3 linked regions of the Stegostoma tigrinum genome follow. The main gene of each other region encodes a partner of the protein of the gene in region 2 in a complex. Links are inferred from orthologs where the notes say so. Each region holds a gene or a part of one and is shown on either strand. Other genes may lie near its edges. The genes, in order: nsmce2, nsmce1 and nsmce4a.

Region 1 (8,211 bases), on a different chromosome or scaffold from region 2:
TCAATCATCTCAGAGACAGTACATCACAACAGAAGTGCCTCAGGGTGGTGTTCAAGGCCCAAACATCATCAGCTGAGCAAATACCTTCCCTCCATCATAAGATCAGACGTCAGGGTGTACAATGATGACATACAACGTTCGGCATGATTTACTATTCTTTAGGTACTGAAGCCGTCAACGCCTACATGCAGCATAAATTGAACAACAAATGAATGCTTGGGCTAAGCAGCAAGTCAGATTCATGACACAAATGCTAGCCAATGATCATCTCCAACAAGAAAGAACTTAATCATTTCCCTTTGGCATGCAGTGGTATTATGATCAAATAAATTTCCATTAACATCCAGGTGGTTAACCATTGACCATATGTGAATAATCCACTTCCAGATTCTCCAAAGCCTGCTACTGTTTAAGGTAAAGTCAAGAGTGTAATGGAAGAGTCTCCACTTGGCCAAATGAACACAACTCTAGTTACATGTACAGTTCAACATGATGGAGGATAAAGCAATGCAATTCTTCCACAGTGTTAAACAGTCAACAGCCCCACCACAAGGACACAGCGGCAGCAGTGTTTATAAGTTTATTTTATGTATTGTAATAAACTCAGCAAAGCTCCTTCAACAGTACCTTTCAAAACTACAGCATTGACCAGCAAGAAAAAAGCAAGCCAACAGACGAGTGACAATATGATCTTCCGCACCTACACAGGCCCCAAACCCCACCTCTTCCTCCGGTACATTGATGACTGTATCGGCGCCGCCTCTTGCTCCCCAGAGGAGCTCGAACAGTTCATCCACTTCACCAACACCTTCCACCCCAACCTTCAGTTCACCTGGGCCATCTCCAGCACATCCCTCACCTTCCTGGACCTCTCAGTCTCCATCTCAGGCAACCAGCTTGTAACTGATGTCCATTTCAAGCCCACCGACTCCCACAGCTACCTAGAATACACCTCCTCCCACCCACCCTCCTGCAAAAACTCCATCCCCTATTCCCAATTCCTCCGCCTCCGCCGCATCTGCTCCCACGATAAGACATTCCACTCCCGCACATCCCAGATGTCCAAGTTCTTTAAGGACCGCAACTTCCCCCCCACGGTGATTGAGAACGCCCTTGACCGCGTCTCCCGCATTTCCCGCAACACATCCCTCACACCCCGCCCCCGCCACAACCGCCCCAAGAGGATCCCCCTCGTTCTCACACACCACCCTACCAACCTCCGGATACAACGCATTATCCTCCGACACTTCCGCCATTTACAATCCGACCCCACCACCCAAGACATTTTTCCATCCCCACCCCTGTCTGCTTTCCGGAGAGACCACTCTCTCCGTGACTCCCTTGTTCGCTCCACACTGCCCTCCAACCCCACCACACCCGGCACCTTCCCCTGCAACCGCAGGAAATGCTACACTTGTCCCCACACCTCCTCCCTCACCCCCATCCCAGGCCCCAAGATGACATTCCACATTAAGCAGAGGTTCACCTGCACATCTGCCAATGTGGTATACTGCATCCACTGTACCCGGTGCGGCTTTCTCTACATTGGGGAAACCAAGCGGAGGCTTGGGGACCGCTTTGCAGAACACCTCCGCTCAGTTCGCAACAAACAACTGCACCTCCCAGTCGCAAACCATTTCCACTCCCCCTCCCATTCTCTTGATGACATGTCCATCATGGGCCTCCTGCACTGCCACAATGATGCCACCCGAAGGTTGCAGGAACAGCAACTCATATTCCGCCTGGGAACCCTGCAGCCATATGGTATCAATGTGGACTTCACCAGTTTCAAAATCTCCCCTTCCCCCACTGCATCCCTAAACCAGCCCAGTTCATCCCCTCCCCCCACTGCACCACACAACCAGCCCAGCTCTTCCCCCCCACCCACTGCATCCCAAAACCAGTCCAACCTGTCTCTGCCTCCCTAACCGGTTCTTCCTCTCACCCATCCCTTCCTCCCACCCCCAGCCGCACCCCCAGCTACCTACTAACCTCATCCCACCTCCTTGACCTGTCCGTCTTCCCTGGACTGACCTATCCCCTCCCTACCTCCCCACCTACACCCTCTCCACCTATCTTCTTTGCTCTCCATCTTCGGTCCGCCTCCCCCTCTCTCCCTATTTATTCCAGTTCCCTCCCCCCATCCCCCTCTCTGATGAAGGGTCTAGGCCCGAAACGTCAGCTTTTGTGCTCCTGAGATGCTGCTTGGCCTGCTGTGTTCATCCAGCCTCACATTTTATTATCTTGGAATCTCCAGCATCTGCAGTTCCCATTATCTCTGACAATATGATCTGCAAGTTTCCCTCAGAGCTACAAGCTATTCTAACTTTCAACCCAAGTTCCTTCACTGCCACTGGTCAAAAAAAAATTCTAGAACTCCCTTCCTACCATCACCAGATGAAATATGGGGGTTCAAGAAAGCAGCTCACCCCCTCCTTCACAAGAGCAATAAATAGTGGCCTTACCTGTCATTCTCATATGCCATGAGCAAATAAAACAAACGGGACTGTGAGACTAGGCTACTTGATTCAGGTAGGAGAACCATGAGTACAGAGCCAAATTGGTTATGTGGTTTGATTGTGTGCAGTAACGGTAATCCTCAGCTTAACCAAGAAATTTCTGAACTTTTTTTACCCCATAGACGCCACTCAATAGTCCTTGAAGAAAAAAAATCTAGAAATGCTCAGCAGTCAAAAAGGAAACATCTAAACTCTGAATATCAACCTGAAAGGTTAACCCTGTTTCAATCTCCACAGAAACTGCCAGATCTGCTGAGGATTTCCAGGAATCTGTTTCTACGTTTGATTTCCAGAACCTTCAGTGCAGGGCTTTAGCATCCTTTCAAAGACCTTTGTGAAATGTTGATAAACAAGCAACTAATTTTGGTCGCTTTCCAAAATAAACAATTCTCCTCCATCTATACGCAGGGACACAGGATCATGAATTGAATGAATTTATAAGCATGAATTGATTACAAATCCATAAAGATGACAAGTTGAACGTTTCTCTCCCTCTCCTAGTACTGCTTGTTTATCCCAGTTTGGTTATTATATTTGTTTTGCGTTTGTGAACTAACTTGGCTCCTGAATGCTGAAACTCCAGAACAACAGCTAGCCGCTGGATACGAAACAAAGCAGCAATTCGCATGTGCTGAAACAAGTTAAATTACACAAATGTAACTCACAAACCACACACCAATCTAGGCCTTCCTCCCCTTGGCCGCCGCCGCTCTGCGATTCAAATGGCCAACACGGTGTCGCACAAGGCGCCCTGGGACATGTAGTCTGCAGCCACCCCACTCTTCCACTTCCAGGATCCCCAAATAGAAAACTACAAATCCCAGTATCCACTGCAAACTATCCCTCCTTTCCCCCGGAAACAGTTGTTGCGAATGCCTCTGATTGTCGCTGTTCGCTTCAGTTGCCGGTGGCTTGAGTCGCCCACTAGGATTAAGGCAGCAAATGTCTGCAACACCACAACAAAATGTTGGAAGTTACAGCGGTTCAAGCAGCTTGCAAGGACGGACAGTAACCTAATGTTTTGAGTCTAAATGATCCTTCATCAGAGCTGACGTGAACTGTGGACGGGACAACATTTCTGCAAAATAGTGGGGTGGGAGACAGGGTGTTGATAATGTTCCCTTCATAATTCACGTCAACTTTGATGAAGAGTCACCTGGACTCAAAACATTAGCTTGCTTTCACTCCATGGATACTGTCTGACCCTCTGTGCTCTGTAGCATTCTTATGTTTCCAGCATCTGCAGTAATTTGCTCCAAACTCCTGCACAAGCTCTTCTCAAATCATGAGCACACTTGCTAAGTCCAACCTGTCCCAAAAATGGGCGGGAGTGCTGAATGACCTGATTATGTGCCGTCCAATTTGTGTGATGAAAATTCAATAAAATAATATTAATAAGGGCCAATTTAGGGTGTGGACAGTTCTGTTCAGGACACATTCATCGCATCATGAAGTGTTTGGAAAACCGCACTGAGCCTACCACATTCCTGCCAGCTCCCACTCCTAACCATTCACCATATAAAAACTCTTGACTTTTTAATCTATCACCTAGATCAGTATCTATTGATATCGGATCCTTTAGTCAATTGGAACAGTTCTGTTGTGTCCAGACTCTTCACACGTATGGGCACATCTCTTGAACCACTGCACAACCATTGTCACAAAAAGAGCAACTCAGCTTCATCAATCTATTCCTGCAACAGCCCAGGTACAAGTTTTGTGAGCCTTTCATGTTCGCCACATAAAGCCTTATATTCTTAAAAATACAGTACCCAGAACAAGACACAATACTTCAGATGAGGCCAAACTCATGTTTGGTTAAGGTTCTCCTGCCTCTCTATTTATAAAGCCTAATATACCATTTGCCCTTTTAACCCCTTTCTCAACATGCCCTGGCTCTAACAACAATGTATACATTTAAGCATCTCCGTCACTGCAGCTTCTTTAGAATTTGTACGTATTATTTTACGTTTCCTCTTCCCCTTCTTCCTAACATTTTAAACTCCTCTGAATTTCATTTCATTTGCACCCATTCCACCAATGACCATGTCTCATGAACTTTATTCTCCTCATAGCTCACAATACCTAAAAGGTTTTGTGTCACCCCCTAATATTGACGTTGTGCCCTGTACATCAATATCTAGCCCATTAACATAAACTAAGAAAAAAAGGCCCCAGAATAGACATCTGAGAAAAGCCACATACACCTTCTCCCAGTCTGAAATACAATTCACCACTATACTGTTTACAGTCACTCAGCAAACCTCACATCCATGCTGCCATTCCTCCTATTATTCCATGGGCTTCAACTCTGCTGAGGAGCCTGTTATGTGGCACCTTATCAAAAACTGTGGATGGATAGATTTCAGGATGGCCATTGATAAGATGCCCTGTCAAAGGTTGTTAGGAGTGACATATTGGCATGGATAGAAGATTGGCTTGCAAGCAGGACACAGAGAGTAGCAATAAATAGATAATTTTTTTAGGCTGGCAGATGTCACGAGTGATATGCCACAGGGATCAGTGGTGGGACCTCAACTCCTTGCAATTTATAAAAGATTTGAATCAAAGGATCGAAGGGTAGCTAGATTTCCAAACAACACAAAGAAATATAGGAAAATGGACTATGAAGAGGAAATAAGGAGCAGACAAGACAAATACAGATAGATTAAGTGAACGGATAACAGCCTGGCAAATGAAACAATGTGGGAAAGTGTGAAATTTTCCATTTTGACAGAATGAATGAAAGGAAGTATAGTATCTAAATGATGAGAAGTTGCAGAGCTCTGAGAGATAGAGAAACCTGGGTAAATAAGAGCATGAATCACAGAAGTACACAAGTAGAGCAAGTGAGCAGAACGTTATGGTTTATTGCAATGGGAATGGTATGCAAGAGAGGTTATGTTTCAGTTATACAGAACAATGAGAAGACCATACCTGGAGTACTTGTACAGTACAATCACTGGGCTTGCAGAAGGATGGTAATGCTTTGGAAGCAGTTCCCAGAAGGTTTAGTGAGCTAACAATTAGAATAGCGAGTTTTGAGAAGATTTGTAGCTCAGGTTGAGTTTCTGGATGTGAGTTTGCTTGCTGAGCTGGAAGGTTAGTTTTCAGATGTTGCGTCACTTTTTTTTATTTGAAAAAATATACTTTATTCATAGAATGTACAAAAAATAAAACATTTATACACCTACCCAGTCATGCAAGCCGCTCTGGGTTACCCAGGGGGTACGTACACCAACTAAAGGAAAAGAACAAAACAAAGAAAAACAAAGAAAAGAAAATATCCCGTCAGTCGTCTCCCCGCATAGTCCCAGTTGGCCCCCTGACCAGTTGGGGAAGGCACCAGCTGGGCCCAGTTACCAGATAGGACCCTTTTTTCTATTCTGGACGAGGGGTTTCATACGGTGGTCTTTCCCCACCGTGCCTTGGCTGCGGCTGCCCCAAGCTTTAGCGCGTCCCTCAGCACGTAGTCCTGGGCCTTGGAGTGCACCAGTCTGCAGGTCGGCACAACATCGAGTCTTTGTAGAAGATCCTTTAAGATTTTCTTTGAATATTTACTTTATCTTTTAAATACAGAACAGCAATTTCTCACTTTCAAACTGAATTTGGAATAAATTCTTCAATAAGAAACTGTATTGGTTCCTACTCAAAACATCAAAAGCAGCAAATTCATGGTATGGATGACCTGCAATCTTCTCCCTCAGAAGTGTCCCCAGATCACAATGTTACCTGTTTGTAATCAATAGTCGGTTGTAAAAATACTGAGAGTTACTAAAACAACTATCTCAATAACATTAGATTTATCATGGAGTGACCCTGAAGATTAGATTCAAGGTTGCCATTTGTTTTCCAGCATTATTGTGATCTTTGTCTACTTTGCTGTTTACGAAGATGAAAATTAGAAAGGAATATTACTCAAAGATCTCCGTAAAATTCCAGTGACTGAACATTATAGGACAACATTTAACTTGCACTACAAAACATCTTTGAAAAACCATTAAGTTGCATACCACACAGCATGATCAGAAAGAACTTTTAATGGTCAGCTGTACAGTCAAAAATTGCCTTCATATGTAAAAATGTTTTGATTTTAAGATCAACCATTATCCTTCCAAAGGCAATCCATTCAATATAACTTGAAGTTCCAGTTTTTAAAGAAATGCAAATTGCAAAGGCTTAAACAATTAATTTTACTTAATTTACAGCTCACTCAAAATGCAATACATTAGTCATAAAATTTTGTTTCTCAATAGTTCAAGTAAACTTTTTTATTTGAATCAAAATATAGATTATACATAACTGAGCTGTATTTTGTTTGGAGAAGAAAAGGGTTCAGCATTGATGCTACAATGTTATTGCAAATGCAAAATGTAAATTCTTCTTTGCATTCACACAACTTTTTTAGCAAAATTCTGAATTCACCGTTTTCATGTGTCATTCTGGCTGAGACAGGCATATTCAGATTAACCAAGGATTCCAGTATTTATCAGGTATTAGTACGCACACCACTTCACATTGAGGCAGACTACTTTCTTCATCTCAGGCATCATTATAGAATTGTTCTGAACTCATCGAAGATGAAACTAGGGACATGTGCTTCCACAACCTGGCAAGAAAAGTGCAATAATGTTTATCAATTGTTTTTATAAAGTGCTGTACATAAATATCAATTGAAGAAGGACAACCTGGTCAGCAAGGCCTCAATATTTTCCTATATATCTTTTGTCGCCTTTCTTCAGAGTGCTAAGACAGTTCTGAACATTGAACACATTTTATCATATGCATTGGAAACTAGACAACAGAAGAAATCTATCCAAGCCCATTGCATTCTGGAATTCCACAGCTAAATAACAATATTTCAATCTGGTGTAGTATAACTCCTTCCTGGTAGATTGTAATATGAATATTAAGGAACATTTCCTCACCTTTCTGGGTAATTTTGTGTAATAAACATAATTCTCCAAGAACATCAAGGCAGCCACAGCATCAGCAGGCATTTCTGGGATTTTCTGACTAAATAAACAAAAAAGAGAAAAAAAAAAAGACACCCTGGAGTTATTTATCATACATTTAAAACATTGCAACAAAATCTGTTACAGACAACCTGGGGCTGATATTTCAAAATTATTTTGTTTAAGCTTCAGCCATCCTGCCTTTAAAGAAACAATGAGAAATTTTAGCCATTCAACTATTAGATTAAATCATTCAGTCTTCCAGCATCAGCCTTTTCCCAAACCAAATGATCCTTACCTAGTAGTGCATTGCTCCACAATGGAGCGAACGAACTGGCCAATTAAGGCCAGAAAATGCTCTGTGTAACGCGAGTGGAATTGCTTCAGCAGAGTGACAAGTCCAACCACCAGAGGTGGCCAATCTGTGGGATCCGTGGACTTCTTACACACCATGCCTGCATGCAGAAAAAAAATGCAACAATCAAACTATCCATATGTTTTTAAGAGTTAATTATTAGATAGTTAAAAACAGATCTTTCTTAATTTTCTTCTCCGTTACATGACTTACTAAATACTATTTGCAGATACTGGAACCAAGACAATGTGTGATAGAACTTTTTTCTAAAAAGGCACATCTCCTGCCAATTCACTTGAACAGGAAGTCATGCTGTTGGCATCATTTTACATCCTCGCCACAACTGAGCCTGAACCAGTGACAGAGTAGCTGTTGACGGAAA
Region 2 (7,928 bases):
ATGAATAAAACTTAGGGGCCAAAGAGATAGACTTAAGACATGTCTTAAAGGAGGAAACAGCGGTAAAGATATCTGTTGTTTAATTGTTCTATTTTTAATTATGTAACTTTGGTAACTGATATGTTACCTGTGTTTAATTGCTTAAGCCTTGGTGTTGACTCAGAGCTAGAGCAAACAAATGAAGAGCTAGAAGCAAGAACTGGGTTAAGCATCGGTGCTGATACAAGTGTGATGTAGAATGTGGTAAACAAGCTAGGAGTCCTTTGGAATAGTGATGTTTGGGGGTAATGAATGTATGACTGAGATTTTAAGCAGAGAAGAATTCAGGCAAGGTGAGAAAAAATATGTGCTATAGAAAGTGAAATTATGTGGTCTTGATGATAGTGCCCATTCATGGTTGAAGGCTTACTCTGGGGTCAAATAGGTTGCAAACAACTCGATTTGCCCTCTTTTCATAAAGCTTATTTGTAAAAATATTTATTGGGTGGGGGTGGCAAAGAGAAAAAAAAAGCTAGAACCTGGAAATTATTTCCAAAGGAGTCTCTCTTAAAAGTGTGATCAGAGATAATGGGAACTGCAGATGCTGGAGAATCCGAGATAACAAAGTGTGGAGCTGGATGAACACAGCAGGCCAAGCAGCATCTTAGGAGCACAAAAGGTGACGTTTCGGACCTAGAAGGGTCTAGAATTGGGAGCTAAAGCAAGGATATTTTTGGGATTTTGACTAATGCTGGGATATGTTAGTCTCACATTCTTCTAACTGAAATCCTGAAGGAGATACAGTATTAGGTTGTAAATGTCATCAAGCAAACATTCTTGCAAAAGTGCCACACGGATACAATAATTAAAATTCAAATCATTAACAAAAAGAAATCTTAAATCGCCATGTTATTTTGTCTGGTCTATTTCTTCCCAGTCATATGCCTTTTCCAATCAGTGAACTGGAACTAGTGAATCACCCTCACAAACTAATTGGCATGGGGTACAACTGATTTTGAAAGATGTTAATTCATTTGTTTGGCTTCTGTGTTTCCCTGTATATGCTATTATGATCTCAGCTGATGACAATATTGGACAAAATCAGGTTATAGAATGAAACTCAGGTCCGTAAATAATTTATTTCGAATTTTCCAATATCCTTTTAACAATTCGATTTTGATTATGATGGATATACAATTTTTTCAGTCGAGTCCTCTAGTATGGAATCACATGGGAATGTTCCCTTTTTAACATGTTGACTTTATGATAAACAATGCAGTCTTTGTTACTCAATTAGTTTCAACACTATTAGGACAGGTGGGCTCCAGCTACTACAACTTAGTTCAATAATATATAATTTCATCTTGTGCTCAACCATGTCCCTCACTTGAGCTAACCCTTTGGGTTGAGTCTGTAAGAATATTATTTTATGGGTAACACACACCCTACATTAATAGCATGCATAGCAATAGATTCTCATGGCCTATTGAATGATTTATGTGTTTGTCACAGCTTCCTAAGTCACTTTGATAGTTTTCTGGGAATTAGCAATAATATTCCATCCACGTTTTAAGTAATCCATACTATCCAATCTGATTTTTGGGGGATCAACTTTTGAAGTTCCAATTTCATTCTCCGATTGTTCAGATATTTTATTTTCATTCCCTATGTTTATCACCATTGTAAATATACTTTCTCTTGACTATCCTGTCTGTCATTAAAAAAATGTCCTTATATTAACATGATATGCATGCTGAGTTTTCTCCTGTCTGGAATATTGACAACTTAATTCACGTCTTTGAGTTTCTTTTTTATTTGTTACGATCCAGTGACCTAAGCTTTTAATGGTTTCCAGAGACGGATATCAGACCTTAGATCTGGCAATAAATCTTCAAACTTTTTAGCTGTTCTAATTTTGTTGAAAGACTTAATACTTTTTTAGTCTAGCTTAGTTTTTCTCTGAAACTTAAAACATAGGCATTAAGCATAGGGCAGAATCTTTTGGGGTCTGGATGTCATATTAGACAAGGAGTGGATATAAGTCCGGTGAGATCCATCTTGACATCAGAAGTGTCACGTTCCATCTTTTATGCTTTTATCAAATGGCATGGAGTTTCTCACTAGGTGGTGAGTTACCGATTGAGAAGGATACAACTTGTCTCATTAATGTTCAGCTGTATTACCAAAGACATCTTAGTGAAGAAGGCATTTGGTACACTTGCCTTTATTAGTAAGTGCATTGAGTATAGGAATTGGGATGTCATGATGCAGCTGTACAGGACATTGGTTAGGCCATATTTGGAATACTGCGTCCAATTCTATTCTCCCTGCTATAACAAAAGATGTTGGGTATATGAACAGAAGGTATTCAGAGTGATATGCGCCAAATGGGACTTGATTAATTTAGGAAATCATACAGCTGTATAATTCTACCAGTGGTCTGGAGAGGTGCCATTGTGGTTGTGAGGGTTTGACAAATGCTGAACGCCAATGTTTGTGGACAAGGGCTGAGTGCAGCTAGTGCACAAAAACGCAGTTTGGTTGTATGTAACATGGATTTCCTTCAGATCAAGCAAATTCGTAGCTGCTCTGGTTTCCAATCTGTGTTTTCTCAATGACTAGCTTGTTATAGTCAGAGTTTACAGACCCTTTGGTCCAACTCATCCATGCCGAGGAGATAGCCTAAACTAATCAAGACCTATTTGCCAGCAATTGACACATATCTCTCTGAACACCTCTACTCATCCAGATGCCTTTTAAATGTTATAGTTGTACCAGCCTCCACCACTTCCTCATTTCACACACACACCACCTTTTGCATAAAAAAGTTGCCCCTTGGGTCCCTTTTAAATCTTTCACTCTCATCATAAACTTATGCCTTCTAGTTTAGGACCCCCTTTTCCTGGGAAAAGACCTTGGTTATTCACGCTCTCCATGCCCCTCATGCTTTTACAAACCTGTATCAGGTCACCCCTCACCCTCTGAAGCTCCGGGGAAATAGCCCCAGCCTAGTCAGCCTCTCCCTATAGCTCAAACCCTCCAACCCCTGCAATATTGAAATCATTTCTGAACCCTTTCAACTTTCACAACACCTGTCCTACAGCATGGAGGCCAGAACTGAAGGCAGTATACCAGAAGTGGCCTAATATGTTCTTTTCCTGAGGGCTTAACCCCCTTTTATATAAGCAGCATAAAAACAGGATAATGAAAACTGGTGGGAAAAGGTGGTATTTATGACAACGATGGAAGTGGGGTAGGGTAGCAGGCATAAACTGGGTTGACAGACATGGGTGCCAAGTCAAAAAAGAGCAAAGGGGCTGCTAGTTTTAAACAGAGCAGAAGTTATGCTGAACGAGTGCCAGCAGCAAGTGTAAATAGTCTAAAATGGGTTGACTGTTCTGGATGCATACACAATAGGACCTGAGGTTGGACAAGAGACTTGGAAGAAGGTTTACATTCTCTGATTCAGTGTTGAATTCTGACAATTGTAAATTGTCTTATTCCTCCAGCTTGCTTTGAGCATCCTTTAAGAACTGAAGCAGCCTGAGACACTAATATTGACGTGAGAAAACAGTAGTGTGTCCAAGCGGCAGGCAACTAGAAACTCGGGTCACTTTTACAGACGTACCATTCCTCCCCTCCCCCTAATCTCAGCCACCATAAGCTAAAATACAACTATTTTTCACTGGCTTTCAATTCTGACAAAAGGTGGCTGGACTCCCAAGCGGCGACCTGTTTCTCGTTCCATTGCCAGACCTGCCGAGTTTCTCCGAAACACTTTGTGTTCGTTTCCAATCCCCACAATCCGCGGCCCTTACTTTTACTTTACAAAGGAAAACAAGTGAAATCTGTTTTGAGATCTGGGGGGAAAAAAATCACTTCGTGTTTCTAACCAACCTCGGATATTTCCAAAGAACTCACATTCTGGTGACCAACTGTTCTAACCATCCCGACTGAACATTTTATTTCACTTTTCGGAAAGGGTTTGGAGAAAACTTGCCCCGAAAGAGTTTGCGTTTGGCATCAAACACTGAATTTTTTTTTGAAACCATGAAGTTTCTAACAGAGATTTTAAGAGAAACGAGCAGCTTTAAGGTATCAGGAAAATGAAGAAGATCCTTTAGCAAAACAAACTACAAAGACGCCAACATCGAACTCCGCACCGAACAAAACTCTCAACTGTCGCCAGGGTACAGAAAGTTCTGGAACCCAAACCCATAATGCACCGCGGAGTCACTGCTGATGGGGATTGTGGGAAATTGTGACTGCGGCCCCGGTGAGTGGTGCTGCGGGGTGGGCCGAGTGATTCAGAGATGGAATGGAATATAGTCTGGGATCGGGGTGGGGGAGTGTTGCGAGTGTTTAAGGAGGGATGGGGTAAGCGAAAACGATGAGGGGTTTAGAAGGGAGGGAGAGAGAAAAAAAAAGCGGGCGGGGGTGGAGGGAAGAAGGGGGAGTGGAGTGAGAGTGGGGAGGGGGGGTCGGAGAGATGGGGGGGCAGTTGGGTGTACGAGAGAGAAGTGAAAGGGTTGATTAAGGAGAATTAGGTGAGAGATAGGGGAAGGGGCTAGGTGATGTGGAACACAGGGAGAGAGACGTGTGAGAGGAATGGTCAAGGTAGTCAGAGGGGATGGGCAAGGAGTATTGGGTGGCAGGGAATGGCAAAGATATTGGGGGATGGGGTAATGGAGTGGGGTGAGGAGAGGTGTTGGAGTTGGGAAAGGGGTGGCAAGGGACATGGGTGGTTGGACAGATTTAGAGGCCTGTGGACTGGTAACTGGAGGATGGTGGGATGAGACTGGAGGGGGTAGATGGCAAAAAGGTTGGCAAAGATAGAAGCTTGAATGGATTGGGTTTTGATAAGGGTGGCAATGGTTGCTGGCAGAGAATAGGGTAAGGCAGGCATGGAAAAGAGGACAGAGAAGAGGATTAGAGATGAAATGGGATGGATGATGCTTAATGGTGTGGGGAGTGGGAGAAGCGTTGGAGGCATGGTGAGTGAATTAGTGTTGGGCAAATGGAGGAAAGCAGGAGTGTAGAGTGAGGTAACCCTTTGTGCAGCCTTGGGGAATGGATCCAACTCATCTGAGGAGGGTAGTGGAAGTACATAACACAGTGAAATGCCCCATGGCAGCAGTTAAATAATGACCAAATTGTTTGATTTCTGCGTGATGCCAAGGTTCTCAGTTTAGTCTGTTTTTATTTCTCCAGGAGAGTGTAGTGTTGTAATGGCAGCAGTGCTAAATGAGAGCCACCGACGATTCCTGCAGACTATGATGTCTCAAGGAATTCTAGAAGGATCGATGATGAGGAAATTGCACAAACATTGTTGTGAAACACACCAAGGTCAGCTGACTGTTAATGTGCATTTACTTCTTGTGGTCTTTCTCAGAAGAAAGATCATCTTGAAATTTAATGTTGCTCAAGTTTGTGGGCAGTTTTATGCAAGAGAACTATGGGCTTTCAATATTTAGTGTCTTGTCATAGGTCAACATTTGAACATCACTTCGAGTGAGTTACTTACAAGTACAGTGATTTGTTATGCACAGCACTTAATCCCAATAACAACAGTCTCAATGCTGTTAATAGGCTTTTGGTGGGACAAGTAGATCTTCCATGTCTTGTTTGTGATTAGCCTGGTACATGAAGCAGAGTTGTTTAATTGCAGAAACTAAGCATCATGGAGCAAAATAGTGTTAACATTTTGTGTCCAAAACAAATCATCTTCAGACCTGAATGTTTCACTGTCACAGTGTTTCCCCAATCTTCCTGCCTTATAGCATCCTCCATCCCATTTCACTTCTCATCCCTCAGTTCTGGAGAAGAGTTATACAGAGTCTGTTAACTCCATCTCTTTGCAGATGTTGCCAGACCTGTTGAGTTTCACCAGCGTTCTGCATGTGTTTCGGGTTTCCAGCATCTACGATACTTTGCTTTTATTGTTATTTAACTGCTTACCTGGTCTGCTGCATACTGCCCGTGATAAAGGTAGTTTCAGTAAGGTCAGTTCAGGTTTTTGTAGCTTTTATCGACGTAGTTAGGTGGTAACTTGGTCAATTTGCAAATTTAGATAAGAAACCAACAAGGTTAGATTTTGATTTATAAAAATTGTACAATACTTGAAAGAGGTTATGCACTAAAAATAGAAATATTTTTTATTGAAGTAAATTGGTTGAGGAAAGTTTGTGGGAAATTCAGTGTGGGAACATGCCTATTGCTGTTGTGAGTTACAAATATTTCCAGAGTCTTATCTGTCATCCACCCACCCTCTCCTCTCATTCTTTTACACACCATTACTTTGATTACATTAGGGTTTCCACTGATTTACTCACTTTCTTTGAGTTCAACAGATTGATTCACTTCTTTATCAAGCAGTTGTTGCCTAACTACTTGTGAATACTTGGTGAGATCAGTCCTTCAGTAACTGGAACGGTAGAAAAATGGCAAGAAATTGACTTCTGCACTCTCCATTTGATATAATTTAACATCATTATTGAAATCTTTTATTCAGTTTGATTTTTAAATTTCTATTTACTCTTGTGAGAGTAATTGTGAGATCTGATTCAGGGGTCTGGAATCTGCTTCTGACTGAAATGACCATTCTTTTTGAGTGCTGGTAGATAACAGCTGTTAGGCAACGTTAATTTTCTTACAGATCCTGTGCTCACTCTTGGTGCGCATTCAAGTTTGAACTCTGTTGTCCAGCATTGATCCCTGGATACCAGGAGCAAGAATCCCTGTTGATTTATCTACAAAACTTATTTTCCTACTTTTGTAGTGTGAAGGCTGTGGCTGAATAAAAACTGAAAGGACTGCAGATGCTGTAAATCAGGAAAAAAACCCAGAAGTTACTGGAAAAACTCAACAGGTCTGGCAGCATCTGTGAAGACAAACGGCAGCACGGGGATCTCAGTGGCTACCACTGGTGCCTTACAGCACCAGGGACCCGGGTTCAATTCGAACCCCGGGCAACTGTCTGTGTGGCGTTTGCACGTTCTTCCTGTGTCTGCGTGGGTTTCCTTTTGGTGCTCCGGTTTCCTTCCACAGCCTGTAGATATGCAGGATAGGTGGATTAGCCATGGGATGTGCAGGGTTACAGCAATAGGTGAGCCTTGGTGGGATACACTTTGGAGAGTCAGTGTGAACCTGTTGGGTCGAATGGCCTGTTTCCACACTGAAGGGATTCTAATCGAAATCAGAGTTAACGTTTCGGGTCTGGTGAACCTTTCTCGGAACTGACGGCAGCAAGGAAATGTCAGTTTGTATGCAGAAAATAGGGTAGGGTGAGGGGATAAGGGGGAGCTCAAAGAGAGAGAAGAACAGTTGGCACATCAGTAAACGACCATGGTCAATGTGCCCTAAATTCTGGGAGCAGGTGGGGTCATAAATGGAAGAAATGTTTAATACAGGTGACTGGTTTGTTGTTGGTTGCCATTAACCTATGAGAAGGAGAGAGTGAATTCATGTTGTAAATGCCTTCTGACGCTGTGGAGTGACCTGAGTGATGAAAAGATGCATTTGCATGGGTATACCTGAAGTAGTACACTGAACACGTTGCTATATCTGTCCCAGTGTAAAGCAGATTACGTATCATACTATACACTTTCATTCTCAATGCTGTATCTATTTCACAGTGCTTACTATGATATCATAGCTCCTCAGTTTGATTATTGAAATGCTGATTATAGGTCTTCTGTCAGAGGGCAAGATTTTTGCACACCTGGCATTGAGTACACAGTATAGAGGAGACCAGGGATGAGTTCAGTGGGCATACTGTTTACGTTTTGTAATGTGTATTTGGCCAGTTAATGGTTAAGGGTTTAATAGAATTTGAACAGTTATCTACATGCTCTTTGAAAGAGTGAAATGTGAAACTGTTGCCTAAGATTCTAGATTTACGTAAGGCTGACATCACTGAGATGAAACCGATTGTCTACAGTAAACTGGAC
Region 3 (8,768 bases), on a different chromosome or scaffold from region 2:
AGCAAAGCTGAAGCATGTACATTCCCTGTAGAAGCATTGATCTTTTCTAAATAATCCAGTTATTAGTCAGAAATTTGAAAGGTATTTGACAAAACATGAAGTACATTTACATAGTCTAAGTGCTCACAATCTTGTGAAAAAATTTCCACTGTGAGTAGATAATTGATTACAATTGTCTTCAAATTGTTTGGAAGGCCCTGTAACTTAAATTTTTTTGTAACATTCTTATCCGATTAATGTCATGAGTTATAGATCTGCCCTCTGTTGCAATGTTAGATAGAGTACTTGTAGATTTGGAGGCCAGAAATTAGAATTTGGTGTTAGTACAATGCTGGTTAGTGGAGGAGGGGGGGAACATTGCATGGTCCCTTTAAAAGATTATGTGCTTTTTCTGTGCTTCAGAATTTAAAAAAAAGTCTGTGAGCAGCAGCTTGAAAGTTTACAAGTACACAGAAAGTACCTGAATTGAAACATTTGTTTAAAAAACTGTACGGTTAGCTAGTGAAGCAGCAGTTTTTATCATGACAAGTTTTGATTTTAACCAATCAATTTGAACCAGGTACTTAAAATACCAAAAACCAATTTAATTTTATCTGATGGTTTTGGCAACATAGGACCAATTCCATTTTCAGAAATTGATATGTCATCAACGGTATAAAAGAAGGGGCAGTTGGCAAAGACAGTAGAGCTAACTGCTACCTGCCAGCCTTAATAGTACTCAGCTCTCACAGGCTCCTCTATGTATTAAAGAAAGCACCATCTAAAGAACAAAGGTACCCCTGGCACAACTAGTGAATATTCCTGATAGAAGAATCAATGTAGAAGATACAGAATATTCTGGAAGACATGTCACCTGGCTGTAATTTCAAGAGACTATTTATAAGTGGGATTTGTATTTATTGGAACAGCATTCTATTAGGATCTTGTTTTAGTAGTGAAAAGTTAGTCATTAGAAGGGATTCATTCAATTTGTTAATCGATTAATTACTTTGTTCACTGTTACAGTTCGATAAATAAATTGTCACTTGTTGATTGTAATGTGAATGTCAGGGGTTTATTTTATTTAACCACTAGAAGTTGCTGAAAGGCAGGTTAGACCACTTTTCACAATCTTTTTACAGATTATAGGGCGAGGTGCTCCTCTTTGGGTGTTTTGCTTTCAGTCCTTGAGGTGGGGGTGGAGTCACTTCCACTTTATAACACCTCATTGTCATTACATATGGTTTATGTCATTGTTACTTACACCTCCCAAGGTCTGATCTTGTCCTCTCAATCTAATTTTTCTCCATTAAAATTTTCAATAAAATCTCCTTTTGTAACTCAAAGCCTTAAGTCCAGAGTCATTTTACTGTAAATCATCCCTAAGGTATCAATGCCTTGTAAAATTGGGTGATGACTTAAACGCCTAAAATTCCTTTTGGAAGGGTAAATTATCAAGCAGATTTACCTCTGTTTGTTTTTCTGATTTTGAGTTTTCCTTCCACACTGACATATCCATGCATTCTGTAACTTGTATTGTAAGGAATGTTTTTGAAATAAAATCTAAGTAGCCAGTAGATCCAGGAAAATAATAGTTGCTTAATTGTGCAGAACTTAAGAGCTGCTTAAAAAGGAACTTGTCATGCATTTATCCAGACAGAATTGCACAAATACCACATTTCATAGGGAACAACATTTTATGCTGCACAAAATGCAGCGTGCTCACAGGCATTAGATTAACTTATTTTGGGAAAAACAATGAAACAAGATAAACATTTTATGAAACACCAGCAACTCAAAACGTGTTCAGCAAGCAATACTGCTGTATTTATCAGAATGGAAATCCAGTTAAGACAATGACAGTGACTATTGAACTTTCTACTGTGTTAGTGACTCAGAGAAAGCACACTTGTATAACGTGACAAATGACATCTATAATCAGTCATTTAGTTTTGACTCTCTATGCATATTTCTGTTATAATTCCTACCAGAACAACTATTTCAAAACCGTTTACTTCACAGAAAACCATCAATATAACTAGAATAAAGATTTACTTTTAAACTGTAACTTGATTAAAAAATATATTAACATGAAACTGGAATTTGAACATTAATACATAGAATACTGAAATACTAAATGATATTTGTGTCCCTCCTAAGGATACATGTTACTTTTTCACATCTCTGCTACGCTGGTTATGTGATTGTTTTTGTGTGCAACATATTCAACAACTGCTGTACAGATTCTTCTGTGATATCACGAAGTGAACATAAGTTCACTCTCAATTAACTAAACTGTTATCGGTTAATATTTTAACTTATCAGTCTGGCTTTTTTATTTTAATGGTAACTGATCTTTCAATGTTAAGTTTGCAGTCAAGTATAATAAAAAAAATCATGAAGTCCTTCAAAACGGATTGATACCAGGTATCATATTGAAGGAAGAAAGTTAACTCGAAAAAGCAAACATTTGAATATGTATGAGTAATTTTTAGAATGGCCTGTTATGTCTTGTAGTATCCAGTATATCTATTATTAAGCAGACTCCAGCATCCCAGCACTAACAGCCACAGGAGACTCCTGCAGTACCCTCCAACCTCTCTTGACAGTCACACATCTATCTGACTGAACCTGCTGTGTGACCACCTCTCTAAATCTACTGACCATCACACCCTGTGTCTCTTGCATGCTCCTCAGTGACTCAAACAGCCTTTCCAGCCATTCCAAATGGTCTGGTAGAAGACAGATCCAAGCACGCCTCCCGAAAACATAGTCTCCATAGATGGTCAACTGTTTGCTCGTCTCCTACATTCAACAGGAGGAACATAGCATTCCATTGACGGGCATAATTGGCCCTTAAAAATTTGCCTTCATATTTTTGCTGAAAAAGACCCATACTTTTCTCAACTCCAGTATTTATAGACTGATTGCTGCTGTCGCTCTATGTTGGAAGGATTTCAAGCCTATATTCTATACAATAAGGCCCAAAAGAAGAAGCTCTAAATTAAACTTTGTATGAAAAAGATCTACCCTTCACTTACCCACAGCTTTTAACTTTAAAAATGTTTCAGTCATGGCCTATTAACTAGTTTTCATTGCCATGCTCAAAAATTATGTCACAGCATTAGACATCTAATACACAAATGTTAAAGACTTGAACAGTCAGAACAAACAAAAATGGATTAAAATACAAACTAAACTGGATTCTCATGACATATGTAACTAATAACAGTAGAAACAGTTAAGTTGGAGACTGCTTAGTCAACAGTGCACTTGCTCTCAGCCAAAAGCAGCTCCATACTAAATGCCAAACTAAACTAACAGAGTAATGTACAGATCAGTTCAACTTCAAACCTTAGTATTCTGATATCTTCACGAACTATTTACCTTTATTTTCACATCATTTGTGCAGTTGAGCGCAGCATGTATCTCCTCTATAAGTCTTCAATCATTGTTTAATGTCAGGCCACTGTAGCTGAAGCTAACTGTGGCTGCACAAGAATCTTATGCACCAAGATCGTATTGGGCAATATTGTTATGATGTAGTTTAAAGTGAGGCTAGCCTTGTCTGGTATCATGTGTCATCAGGTTAAAATGAACAGGCTCTAATCCTGGATTTTATTTCAACGCATAGATGACTTTCTTTTGTAAACATTCAGCACTGCTCGAGGTATGAGTGTACTCATGAAAGGGAAACTGGACAGGAATTTGTGGCATGATGAATTGCAGGTTGCTAATTTTTATTTTAAAACTCTATTAAAACAAGTGACTCAAAAAAGAGAGTAAATCTAGCTCCAGGGATACTAAACTGCTTCTTTAAACCAAACTGTCAATTTCTCCCCATATTACTGTCTGAACCCTAAGCATACTGCATCCATCATGCCAGACATAGCAATGAACTGTCTCCCCATTAAAGCCAGATTGGTGTTTTTTTAAAATTCATTCATGGGATGTGGAAGTCACTAGCCAGACCAGTATTTATTGCCCATGGCTAATTGCCCAGAGGGCAGTTAAGAGTCAACCACATTGTTGTGGGTCTAGAGTCACATGTAGGCCAGACCAGGTAAGGATGGCAGATTTCATTCCCTCAAAGGCATAGTGAACCAGATGGGTTTTTCCAACAGTTGGCAACAGTTTCATTGTCAACATTATATTTTAGTTAAATTCAAGTTCTACCATGATGGCTAGAATTCCAGGTACTCAAGACATTATCTGGGTCTCTGGAATAGTAGTCTAGTGGTAATGCAATTAGATCATCACCTCCCCTCTACTTGTCATGCTGATTGTTGATTATCTCATTCCCTCCTAACCTCTAGCATCTCTCCCCTTTATATTGAATTTCCTGCTCCATTGCACATCCCATCATTCTGCCTGAAAATATCACAATTGAGTTCCCCAGTTTCACCACCAGCTCCTGGTAAAGCCTTCTTTGCCTTTTAATGGACGGGCTCTAGGACTGTCACTCTTTGTGCCCCACCCCTTGACAGACCTGGATGGTCAGCCCTTCTGACAACTGATTGTAACCTTGGCTGAAATCTGTGCAGCTTCCCGAGTGATTTACTGTGACTTTCAAAACTGTTTGCACCAGATCTACAGGACTGACTGGAACCTGACTTCAACTCTTGTGCCCCTAAGATGCTGCTTGGTCTGCTGTGTTCATCCAGCTCCACACTTTGTTATCTTGATCTAATTGCTCACTCCTTTGTGCCCCACCCTGTGATGAGCTTAAATGCCACCTTTTCCAAGCTATCGGTTCTGAAGAAGGGTCATTAGACTTCAAACGTTAACTTTGCTTTCTTTCCACTGATGCTATCAGACCTGTAAAGTTTCTCCAGAGAAATAAAGACTGTAGATAATAGAAGCCTGCACCTGTCGGTGTGAGACTGGAAAAGCACAGCAGGTCAGACAGTATCAAAGTAGGATACATCAACGTTAGTGTACCTAGTACTATTGAAGGGTTTCAGCCCAAAAGGTTGACTTTTTTGCTCCTCTGATGCTGACTGACCTCCTGTGCTTTTCCAGCCTCACACCAATAGATTCTGCTGAGTTTCTCCAGTAATTTGTTTTGGTTCTTTTCCCTCACTTCTATATAGGGTAATGCTTTTATGTAGGATGAGATAACAAGCTGGATGAACACAACAGGCCAAGCAGAAAGGCTGACATTTCGGGTCAGGACCCTTCTTCAGAAACCCGGGGGGAGGGGGGATTCTGAAATAAATAGGGAGAGAGGGGGAGGCGGATAGAAGGTGGATCAAGGACAAGATAGGCTGAGAGGAGACGAACAGGTCAAGGAGGCCCTATACAGAACTTTTATTTAATAAAAATTAAAATCTGAAGCAATAACACCTTTCGTCCTTCACTGATGACGCAAACCTGGGAAACATGTTCAACTACAAATTAAGAGTCGGTGGCTTTGACTTCCGGCGCATGTGGAGGTGACGTGCTGGAAAGGCGCTGGTTTGGCTTTGTACTGGCGGGGTGGAGAAACAATGTCGGAGGGCAAAGGTCGAGGCCGATCCCCTTATCCCCCCGGGGGATCGCAGCGCTCCGCTGCGGGCACCTCCAACGGCACCATGGCCGGAGCGGGAGCTCCGCAGCGCGGCAGGAGAAACTCAGCCGTCTCGGACTGCACCGTGACCGAGGACGAGGAGCTGGTCGATGGCGCCATCCCGTATGGGGCCCGGGATGATGACCCGAATCGCCGGAGGATGCTGAGGCACCAGTACCGGGAACTTATCAACAGCGTCCAGCGTGAGTGAGCAGGCACGGGGACACCCAGTTCAGATTGTAACCTCTTCTCGCTCTCATCAGGACACTCTGGGTCTTCCGTTCTCCCCTTGTGAACTCCAATAGGAAACGTAAAATTAAATAACAATAGAATCTCTTGTCTTGTATCAATACCACGGGCCAGTTTGATACCGAGTAACCTGCGTCTATATTATTTGTGAACAGGCTTTCCCTTTTTTTTGAGCAGGCTTGCCCTTTATAAATATGGTTTATCAATAACTTCCACTCGGTTAGACTTGAACAATAAGACTACTTTCGAGCGGGAGATTTAAGTTTAGTTCTCATCTCCAGAGGTGTGGAATAAAATGCCTGAACAAGTTGATATTTCAAAATATCCGAAGTTGCTGCTTTGTGGCTTTCATGAGAAAACGTGTCGTCGCAGAATGTGATTCTGAAAGCCAGTCAGATTGCTCCACTTTACCAGTTCAGTTGCTTACCGGCTGTCCTAGTGTGGAGCTGGATGAACACAGCAGGCCATGCAACATCTCCGGAGCACAAAAGCTGACGTTTTGGGCCTAGACCCTTCATCAGAGAAGGGGATGGGGAGAGGGTTCTGGAATAAATAGGGAGAGAGGGGGAGGCAGACTGAAGATGGATAGAGGAGAAGATAGATGGAAAGGGGATAGGTTAGTCCAAGGAAGCGGAATGAGGTTGGTAGGTGAGAGGAAGAACAGGTTAGGGAGGCTGGTTTTGGGATGCAGTGGGGGAGGGGGAGATTTTGAAGCTTGTGAAGTCCAGCCCAGCTCGTCCCCTCCCCCCACTGCATCACAAAACCAGCCCAGCTCGTTCCTGCCTCCCTAACCTGTTCTTCCCCTCTCCTATCTCCTTCTCCCACCTGCCAACCTCATCCCACCGCCTTGAAATGTCCGTCCTCCGTAGACTGACCTATCACCTCCCCACCTATACTCTCCTCTCTACCTATCTTCTCTATCCATCTTCGGTCCACCTCCCCCTCTCTCCCTATTTATTTCAGAACCCTCTCCCCATCCCCCCCCTCTGATGAAGGGTCAAGGCCCAAAACGTCAGCTTTTGTGCTCCTGAGATGCTGCTTGGCCTGCTGTGTTCATCCAGCTGCACACTTTGTTATCTTGGATTCTCTGGCATCTGCAGTTCCCATTATCTCTAGTGTGTACCAATTTGGTTTGTGTGAAATAAAGGTGGTGTGAACAATTTCTTTCCAGGACTTCATCTAATGTTAGTAGAATCTGGAATTGTCCTGTTTACATAGAACATTACAGTACAGTACAGGCCCTTTGGCCCTCGTTGTGCTGACCTGTCATACCGATCTCAAGCTCATCTAAACTACACTATTCCATGTACGTCCATATGCTTATCCAATGACGACTTAAATGTACCTAAAGTTGGCGAATCTACTACCGTTACAGGCAAAGCGTTTCGTTGCCTCACTACTCTGAGTGAAGAAACCATCTCTGACATCTGTCCTATATCTTTCACCCCTCAATTTAAAGCTATGCCCCCTCGTGCTCTCCGTCACCATCCTAGGAAAAAGGCTCTCCCTATCCACCCTATCTAACCCTCTGATTATTTTATATGTTTCTATTAAGTCACCCCTCAACCTTCTTCTCTCCAACGAAAACAGCCTCACGTCCCTCAGACTTATTTCGTAAGATCTTCCCTCCATACCAGGCAACATCCTAGTAAATCTCCTTTGCACCCTTTCCAAAGCTTCCACATCCTTCTTATAATGCGGTGACCAGAACTGTATACAATACTCCAAGTGTGGCCGCACCAGAGTTTTGTACAGCTTAATGATAACCCCTTGGTTCTGGAACTCGATCCCTCTATTAATAAAAGCTAAAACACTGTATGCCTTCTTAACAGCCTTGTCAACCTGGGTGGCAACTTTCAAGGATCTGTGTACATGGACACCGAGATCTCTCTGCTCATCTACACTACTAAGAATCTTACCATTAGCCCTGTACTTTGCCTTCTGGTTACTCCTACCAAAGTGCATCACCTCACACTTGTCTGCATTAAGCTCCATTTGCCACCTCTCAGCCCAGCTCTGCAGCTTATCTATGTCTCTCTGCAACCTACAGCATCCTTCGTCACTATCCACAACTCCACCAACCTTAGTGTCGTCTGCAAATTTACTAACCCATCCTTCTACGCCCTCATCCAGGTCATTTATAAAATGACAAACGGCAGTGGACCCTACACCAACCCTTGCAGTACACCACTAGTAACTGGTCTCCAGGATGAACATTTCCCATCAACCACCACCCTCTGTCTTCTTTTAGCAAGCCAATTTCCAATCCAAATTGCTGTATCTCCCAAAATTCCATTCCTCCGCATTTTGTACAATAGCCTACTGTGGGGAACCTTATCGAACGCCTTGCTGAAATCCATATACACCACATCAACCGGTTTACTCTCATCTACCTGTTTGGTCACCTTCTCAAAGAACTCAATAAAGTTTGTGAGGCACGACCTTCCCTTCACAAAACCGTGCTGACTATCCCTAATCAATTTATTCTTTTCTAGATTATTATAAATCCTATCCCTTATAACCTTTTCCAACACTTTACCAACAACTGAGGTAAGGCTCACTGGTCTATAATTACCAGGGTTGTCTTTACTCCCCTTCTTGAACAGGGGAACCACATTTGCTATCCTCCAGTCGTCTGGCACTATTCCTGTAGACAATGACGAGTTAAAGATCAATGCCAAAGGCTCGGCAATCTCCTCCCTGGCTTCCCAGAGGATCCGAGGATAAATCCCATCTGGCCCAGGGGACTTACCTATCGTCACCCTCTGTAGGATTTCTAATGCCTCTTCCTTGTGAACCTCAATCCCACCTAGTCTAGTAGCCTGTATCTCAGCATTCTCCTCGACAACATTGTCGTTTTCTAGAGTGAATACTGTTGAAAAATATTCATTTAGCGCTTCCCCTATCTCATCTGACTCCACACACAACTTACCACTACTATCCTTGATTGGGCCTAATCTTATTTTCGTCATTCTTTTATTCCTTAAATACC

The links.
Region 1: nsmce1 (region 2) and nsmce2 share a complex: the UniProt entries of both Homo sapiens proteins name them as parts of the SMC5-SMC6 complex. The link is inferred for Stegostoma tigrinum from reciprocal best matches to the Homo sapiens genes NSMCE1 and NSMCE2.
Region 3: nsmce1 (region 2) and nsmce4a share a complex: the UniProt entries of both Homo sapiens proteins name them as parts of the SMC5-SMC6 complex. The link is inferred for Stegostoma tigrinum from reciprocal best matches to the Homo sapiens genes NSMCE1 and NSMCE4A.

Annotation. Positions count from the first base shown.
Region 1 is NC_081358.1:47,630,935-47,639,145, reverse strand, and holds the start of nsmce2 (E3 SUMO-protein ligase NSE2), read right to left. Parts: upstream 3,307-8,211; 5' UTR 3,196-3,306; intron 1-3,195. Other genes in the region: washc5 (WASH complex subunit 5), read right to left, coding at 7,072-7,128, 7,448-7,535, 7,773-7,929. UniProt on the Homo sapiens protein: E3 SUMO-protein ligase component of the SMC5-SMC6 complex, a complex involved in DNA double-strand break repair by homologous recombination. Is not be required for the stability of the complex.
Region 2 is NC_081376.1:24,323,194-24,331,121, reverse strand, and holds the start of nsmce1 (non-structural maintenance of chromosomes element 1 homolog), read left to right. Parts: upstream 1-4,255; 5' UTR 4,256-4,292; coding exon 4,293-4,356; intron 4,357-5,190; coding exon 5,191-5,325; intron 5,326-7,928. UniProt on the Homo sapiens protein: RING-type zinc finger-containing E3 ubiquitin ligase that assembles with melanoma antigen protein (MAGE) to catalyze the direct transfer of ubiquitin from E2 ubiquitin-conjugating enzyme to a specific substrate.
Region 3 is NC_081373.1:27,619,127-27,627,894, reverse strand, and holds the start of nsmce4a (non-structural maintenance of chromosomes element 4 homolog A), read left to right. Parts: upstream 1-5,414; 5' UTR 5,415-5,468; coding exon 5,469-5,730; intron 5,731-8,768. UniProt on the Homo sapiens protein: Component of the SMC5-SMC6 complex, a complex involved in DNA double-strand breaks by homologous recombination. The complex may promote sister chromatid homologous recombination by recruiting the SMC1-SMC3 cohesin complex to double-strand breaks.